Tamandua tetradactyla: one gene and its partner. The protein of the gene in region 1 purifies or fractionates together with the protein of each later gene. This does not show direct contact. Links are inferred from orthologs where the notes say so. Each region holds a gene or a part of one and is shown in the gene's direction. Other genes may lie near its edges.

Region 1 (3,744 bases):
CCCCCTGATGAGCGGGGTGCTGGGTCCTGGGGGCCTGTGGCCGGCACGGGCTTCTCTGTGTAGATGAGAGCAGCAGGGCCTGAGCTGGGTTTTGGGGCCTGGACTGCCTGCGTGGGCACAGAAATTGACACCTGTTTTACCCCTGGGCCGTGTGGGTGCCCCTTTTCCACAGCCCATGACGGGGAGCTCCTGGTGCATGCAGTGCCCCGGCCTGGGGGTGGAACCTGCCCCCAGCACGTGACCCCCAGAGCCAGCCCGAAGCCCAGCCTGCTATCCTGTCCCCTCTCCTGTCTTCTTCCACCTGCACCCGCCCAGGATCCTTGGACCCACAGCAGGCCGCAAGCTTTGGCCTTGGGTTGACTACGAGCGCCTGGAGAGAAGAAGGGCGTCTCGTGCGTCGCCCTGCTGCGGCGGGTGGACATGGGCACCCCTTTCCCATGGCCCAGCCTCTCTGTTTGCTGGGCAGCGGCGCCTGGGCAGTGGCAACCCCTTCTGGGGTCGGGTCCCTGGCGCCAAGGCAGCAGCCGGTCCCAGCAAGGATGATGGAGAGGGCCCGCGCCAAGTATGGCTCACTGGCCGGCAGCCTGTGGGCCCCAAGGTCTGAGCAGACCCAGGCCGGGACACCGGGGAGCGGGACTGTGTGGAGAGCAGCCCCTGCCATGGCACCTTGGCTGGTGGCCTCCACCAGCGTCGCACAGTCACACACGGCTGGGCTTTCTCCGGAGGAGGCTGGGGCGTCATCTGCGGTGCATGGGCGCAGGGCCGTGGGGGGGTGCGTTCCCTGGTGAGGCCCCCTGCAGCACCCCCACAGAAAGGGGCTGCCCGTTCCTCTCTAAGAAAACCTTGGCATCGAGGCCTAAGGATGGTCCCTCCCTCTCGGTGTCTGGGCTGTGGCCCTGGGGCTCCCTGGTGCCGGCCTGCCCTCAGTGCCCGGGTCGTGGCAGGGAGGGGAACCCTCGAGCGGGGCCCTGGGGAAGGGATGGTGACTGCAAGGCCAAGGGATGGGGATGTCTTCAGGTTGGGGAGTTGCCGGGGAGGGCCGTGGAGCGAGACTTGAAGGCCACAGAGGCCAGGCCGCGGCAGGCGCTAGTCGGGCCGGCTCCACATGTGAGCACCAGGCTGGCTTCACAGACCCCCATCTGCAGCGTCTGCGCTCACAGCATGCGATTCCAGTCCCCAAGCAGGGTGCCAGGCACCCCACCTCATGGCCGCCTGAAAGGTGCTGAGTAGGGACATGCCCTTGTACTGCGGGTTGAGCGGAGGTGGGGACAGAGACCCACGGCCTTGGCGGACTCGGGACCCCAGGTGCAGGCAGTGCAGGGTCCGGGAGTCCGGGCCAGAGCGGGGTGCTGCCCACAGGGACCCGGGGCCCTGGCGTCCTGGCTCAGGGCTGGGTTTTAACACATTTCATTATCCCTTCCAAGGTCACATCTTGTTGCAATACTATGTGTCTCGACTCTTTCAGTGATTGGAGGGGAAGCGAACAACCTGGCTACAGCTGTCAGTTTTGCATTGTGCCCAGAAGTGGTGGGCAGAGGGTGAGAGCGTGGGGGAGAGAGCGAGCGGGACAGAGGCAGGAGTGGGGCAGGGAGGCTGGGTAGGTGGGAGAGGGTGGCACGGACCCTTGTCTCTGTGCCTTGCTGATGAGCCCGCAGGGTCCGGGGCTGGCCAGGCACTGGGTGCAGGCTTCTCTCTGCCCTTCACTGGTGGCAACTCAGGGAAGGAAGCACTGAGAGCAGTGGAGGGGTGCACGCCTGGGGCCTTTCCCTCCTGGGCTGGCACAGGCGGAACCGTGGGCGCAGGGGCTCACCCCACCCCAGTATGGAGGGAAGGACTGGAGCAGGCATCTGGAGGACCTGGGGGTCGTGGGGAAGGGTTTGGGAATCGAGGGACAGCAATGCGAAGTTCACACGCCGCCGCGTGGCCTGGTTCCTTGCCGTTCGCCGGGTCACTCCATTACTAGAACTGCAGTCGAGGCCAAGGCCCAGGATGCGGGGTGGGGCCGGGTGGGTGCTGGGTCTCGGCAGGTGGCCTGTGCGTCCAAGGCCGAGCTGACAGTGGTTTGGGCCGGTGGGGGTATCCCTCTGAGGGCACTAGGGGGAAGCAGTGCCTCGGCAGGGGTCCCAGGCCTGAGGGGCTCTTGCCTGCCCCCTTGTCTGGCTGGGCCCCGTGAGGGGTTGGGTGGGAGGGGCCCATGGAGGGAGTGCGGGAAGTGATGCCTGGAGAGGGTCCAAGAGGGACTCGCTGAGGGTGACGCCTGCGTGATGGGGCGTCGCTGTCCCTGTGCAACTGGTGAGACTCTCCCCTAGGCGTGGCAAAGTGTCCCCTGCTGCACCTGGACATGGCCATGGCTCTGCGGCCGGCAAGGACAAGGCCTAGGTGGGGGGGTCGAGGAGGTGAGAGGCGCCCCTGTGGGTCGGCCGGGGCTTCACAGGTGACGTGCCGCTCTATGCAGGTCGGCGGGCCCGAGGGCGTGCTGCAGAATGGGGCCGTGGACGATGGCGTGGCCAAGACCAGCCAGCTGCTGGCCGAGCTGAACTTTGAGGAGGACGAAGAAGACACGTACTACACGAAGGACCTCCCCGTGCACGCGTGCAGGTGAGCCCCGGGTCTTTGAGGAGGCCCGCCCGGGCTGTCCTTGTTTCCGGCACACATGGGAGGAAACCGAGGTCGAGAGAGGTGGCAGCGCGCTGCTCAGGGAGGGCTTTTCCTTTTCCTGGAGTTGCGCTTTGCTCACGTTAATTGATGAGTGCACAGATGCCCCTGTCCTGGCAGGCCGCTTGCTGTGTGTGTGTGGTGGCCCTCTGGGTGGCTGGAGAGGTCCCCACGCGGGGTCCGCGCCCGTCCTGGAACACAGTCCCCTCGGCCCTGCACGTGTTGCTCCCATGGGGAGGATGTGCCTCCGAGACTGCAAGCCCGGGGTAGTGGCCTGCGCAGCCCGGGGTCTCCTGGTGGCTCCCAGCACACCTCGCTTCTGCCTTGTCTTCTGTTTTATGAGGATCTGTTATTAGCACTGTTGGGTTTGAGTATGTGTTTAACGCAAGACTTAAAAACGCCATGAAAGAGTCTCACATACTGCCTCACGCACTTGGGAGCGCAGCCTTCCAGGCTGAACGGTGGTGTCTTGCTTTCCAGCTACTGCGGGATCCACGACCCCGCCTGCGTGGTCTACTGCAACGCCAGCAAGAAGTGGTTCTGCAACGGCCGCGGGAACACCTCCGGCAGGTAGAGGCCCGGGCAGGTGGCCTGCGGGGAGTGCGGGCAGTGGGCAAGAGGTGCCGCGGGAGCCACGTGGTGGCCTGGGAACACCTTCGCCTCCTGCCTGGTCTGTCCTCTGTGACTCTTCTCACATGCGCGTGGGGTTGGCTTCATTCTTGGCCCAGATTTTCACTATGTTCTTGCGTGAGGTGAACTGCTGGCCCGCCCCGGCCAGAGGGACCTCGGGGCCCGGGGAGGTGGCCCGGGGAGGCTGTGGGCAGAGCCCACGCGGCGGAGCCCCAGCGTGTGGCCCTTGCACCTCTTCTTGCTGTCGATCAGCATCGGCCGCAGGACTTCGGGTGAGACGGACCACTTGGCTATTGCACAGCTTCTGGGGGCACAGCTGCTGCCTGGCTGGGCCTTCCCACCCAGGCTGACCGGAATGCCCAGCGCTGCCCCAAGACTCCCATCTCTGGAGACTTAAAGTGGCAGAGTGGTAGGTCATACCACCAGCTCACCTCTACTGGCCACGTGGGCAGCCTCTCT
Region 2 (3,744 bases), on another chromosome or scaffold:
TTATTAAAGCAACAATGCAAACCTAGATAACCACGTGATTGTTAGAATAATTGCAACTAATCCAAACAACAAACAAAAAAAGAAATAGAAAACAACAACCACCTGGAGATTTAACATCCTTCATTTCGCTAAGTATTCCAAACTTTCGGAATGTACGGCCAAGATATAGGTTAGCTGTAGGGCTGGCCGGGGTTCAGGAGAGGGTTCCTTAGATTAGCTTTTCTCTGGCCTAGACGCCATCCATCACATTCTCTTCCAAGGGCCTCAAGACCTTCTGACTCTTACCAAGTAACTAAGGTTTTCTTTGGGAGGAAGATGGAAGTAAGAAACTGTGATCATTAAGTATGTTACACTAAATTCTGTGTTGTTCTACCCAGAAGATAAATTGTGTCTGTAAAAAGGAATGGGGACATACAAAGTTCATAAAAGCCTATGAAAAGTCATAAAAATCACAAAAGTCTAAAAATTACACTTCTTGTTTCTGGAATGTTCCGCCCTCACACGTTCGGCGGGCTCAGGTCTCGCTCCGACGTCTCCCCGGAAGGGCCCGCCCGCCCGTCCCCGTCGGTCACCTCGTCCTCTCCGTTTTCTTCACAGCACTTGCGGCCCTCTCAGGGCGTCTTGTTTGCTTGCGCGGCTGCGGTTTCTGCCTGTCTCCCCTCCTTTTGGGCAAGGCATTTATCGATCTGAACCCTTTGTATAGACTACGGAGTTTATTTACTTATTGCGTGTTTTATCCCCACTAGAATGCAAGTTCCATGAGGGCAGGGGTCTTTCTGTTTGGTCACCATGCTTTCCGCTCTCACAGTGACGCCTGCTCAGACACACTTACGAAAGGAAGAAGGGGGGGAAGGAGGGTGGGAGGGAGGCCGGAAAGGAGGCCGGAAGGGAGGGAGAACCGGAAGGGCGGAAGGACCGCCCACTTTCCCAGGTACACCTCGCGCGGGCCTGCAGTCCGGGACCCCAACTCCCAGCAGGCCCAGGGGCCCAGGGCGGGCCGCGGCGTGCCACGCCGACTCGGCCCCAGTCCGCCAGGTTCCCGGCGCGCCCCGCGAGCTCAGGCGCCGCCGGAGCGCCCGCCGGGACTTGTGGTTCCGGCCACGGGTGGGGGTGGGGCCGGGCATGGAGGCGGGCGGGGGCCGAGGGCGGGCGCCGGCCCCTCCCCCGTCACTTCCTGCCAGGCTGCGGGCGCCCAGCGGCTCCTCAGCGTTTGCGCCCGCGGCCGCCGCGTCTCTCTGGTTTCCCCCTTCCCCTCACGTCCCGGCCGGGCGGCGCCCGCCCCCTCCACGGCCACTCCGCCTTTTCCCTCCCGCCGTCCCCTCTTCCTCTCCCCACTTCCTTCCTCCTGCCCCTTCTCGACGTCGCCGCCGCCACCCAGGCCTGTCGGCCGGGGGACGAACTCGGGGCAGCAGCCAGGTGAGGCGGCTGGGCCCGGCCTGGCCGGCCCGCGCGGGGCCGTGGGCGCGGGGCGGCGGGCGGCGGGTGGGGCCTAGGCCTCGGCGAGCCGCGCGCGGGGTCGCCGTCCCCGGGCCTCTGTCCGCCGGCGGGGCCTTCCCCAGGGAGGCGGGTCCTGCCGAGACCCCCGGTCAGGGCGCCCGGCGGCCTTGCTGCTGCCCTCCCCCACCCCCTCCACCCCCTGCTGGGGCCACAAACAGGTGCCACGACCGCCTTTCCGCGCTCGGAGCCGCCGAAGTTATTCCCGGGCCAGGGGCCGGGGGAGCGGGTAGGGGCGCGGCTCGGAACTCCGGAGCCCCGGAGCCCCGGAACAGCCCGGTGCCCCCAACCCGGCTCTGGAACGTGGTGACTGCGAGCACTGCTCAGGTGTTCACCGTGGGCATAGATCCTCGCCCTGCCTTCTTGGGCGAGTCGCTGAAACTCTTTGGGCTTCTTTGGAAAAGGGGCTCACAAGGTCCCGCTGCTAAGGTTCAGTGAGCCGGGGCGTGTGAAGCCCTCATCAGAGCTTCAGACCCTCCGCGGGTCCCGGTAAGCCGCCTGCATCTTTTATTAGCGTGGTATTAAGGTGTAATTGAATGGGTAGAGCGGACAGAAGTTGACCCGCCTTCCAGTTTGCGTTTCCTTAGAGGCAGGGATGTTGAGCGTGCCCACCAGCAGCTCCAGGACATTGTTTTGGGTTGTTAATGTCTGAAAGGGGCGAACGCTGGAATGGGACACCTTGGAGCAGCCGTCTGTAAAAGGTAGATGTTGTATGTCCGTCTCCTCCGCTTGACCGACGGCAGGGTTCCCACCAGCTCCCTCACTGCGAGCAACCGGTCCTTTTCTTCTTCCGTTGTTGGACTTCTTGTTATTCCATTTTCTGGGAAACTTGCTGGCAGAAGCTTCCCTTGAGTTCGGCAAACGTTTTTGGAGCACCTGATGTGTGTCGGGCTCTGGAAGGGGATTGTACGAAGATGGAAAAAATAAGTCCTTTCTTGCTCTCCATCTATACTTCCTAACTTTTTTTGCACTGCAGCTTTGCTTTTATTCCCTGCGTCCCCGTTGGCAGACTTTCATTTTCAGCTCTTGCTCCTTCCGTGTGTTACAGTTTTGCTTGTGTGGAAGTTTTCTCCCGATCCCGCAGAAATGCGTGTTTCAGTCTGTTCTGCCACTCCTCTTTGACTCTAGGGACGTTTTTAAGATCACTCTTCCCTTCTCCTTGTGACTTTGATTAGAAGGCGGTGGAAAGAGTTAAACTAGGTTTTCCGTGGATTTTGGCCTTTCAGAAATCAGTGTGCTTACCAAATGTAAGTTACGTTGCTACTTGTTGAGTTAAAAACTAAAAATACAGTTGGATTATAGAGGGAGCAGTTTCAATCATCCTGGCAACAGGTGGGATTTTTAGAACAGTTTTATTCATCATGCTGATTTTCTTTTAATTCTGTACTTAGTTGTATATTGCACCCTTCATTAAGGAATTGAAACTCCTGAAAGTTCAAATTTACAGGAATTAGAAATAGCATGTGTTTGTTATACTGAATGGGTTCTTTTAGGCAGCGAATTTCTTTAGTAAACTTAAAATGTTTTTATAACCATCCCACAATAATACAACAATGCAAAGTATCCTCTCTGTTCTCGGCATTTTCCTAGAATTTTCTGACATAAAGTCTTACCATCATTTTTACTTTAAATCTTGTTATGGCTCTTTAGAAACACTTAAAAAACACCTATACAGACAATACAAAGCATGTCTTCTGCCATATTGTGAATTGAAGTGCTAGAGAAGTGATGCTTAATGCTGCTGTAGATAACTTCAAGTTGTCATAGAACAACTGTTTATTATGGAAACCTACAAAAGTTGGTTAGAGAACCGCCATGTATTGGTCACTCATCTTTGACAATTATTAACTCATAGCTAAAGTCAATCTTGTTTCCTGTTTCCCACAAACTGGATTATTTTGAAACAGAACTCAAACATCATATCATAACTTTAGCGATTTTGACTTTTATCAGAATGCCTCAGTGTGTTAATTTGTCACAAAATCTACTTTCAGCAGGATCATAGTTCTAAATTTTGTTTGTTGGGGTGCCCGTCTCTGTTTACATACGAGTACAATGGAAAAAAAATTAGCTTCAAGATTAGTTATTGATCCAGTGCTTTCTCCCCTCAAAGTAAAATCCAAAAATACTTCCTTGTTTTTTTTGTGTGTGCAAAAACAACAGTTCTTTCGCTGCTGATGGCTGTAACTGGAAAGCAATCAGAAATACAGATTTCCTGAACCCTGTTCCGGTGAAGATGTACCTGTTAAG

The links. Proteins that work in one complex are often made in the same cells at the same time.
Region 2: the proteins of UPF1 (region 1) and STAU1 purify together in Homo sapiens (affinity purification with mass spectrometry; 7 studies listed by BioGRID and IntAct, with this or other methods). This does not show direct contact. The link is inferred for Tamandua tetradactyla from reciprocal best matches to the Homo sapiens genes UPF1 and STAU1.

What each region holds. Positions count from the first base shown.
Region 1 is NC_135337.1:95,947,281-95,951,024, reverse strand, and holds the start of UPF1 (regulator of nonsense transcripts 1), read left to right. Parts: upstream 1-992; 5' UTR 993-1,001; coding exon 1,002-1,219; intron 1,220-1,465; coding exon 1,466-1,538; intron 1,539-2,455; coding exon 2,456-2,598; intron 2,599-3,135; coding exon 3,136-3,225; intron 3,226-3,744. UniProt on the Homo sapiens protein: RNA-dependent helicase required for nonsense-mediated decay (NMD) of aberrant mRNAs containing premature stop codons and modulates the expression level of normal mRNAs.
Region 2 is NC_135327.1:3,472,617-3,476,360, forward strand, and holds the start of STAU1 (double-stranded RNA-binding protein Staufen homolog 1), read left to right. Parts: upstream 1-1,299; 5' UTR 1,300-1,416; intron 1,417-3,744. UniProt on the Homo sapiens protein: Binds double-stranded RNA (regardless of the sequence) and tubulin.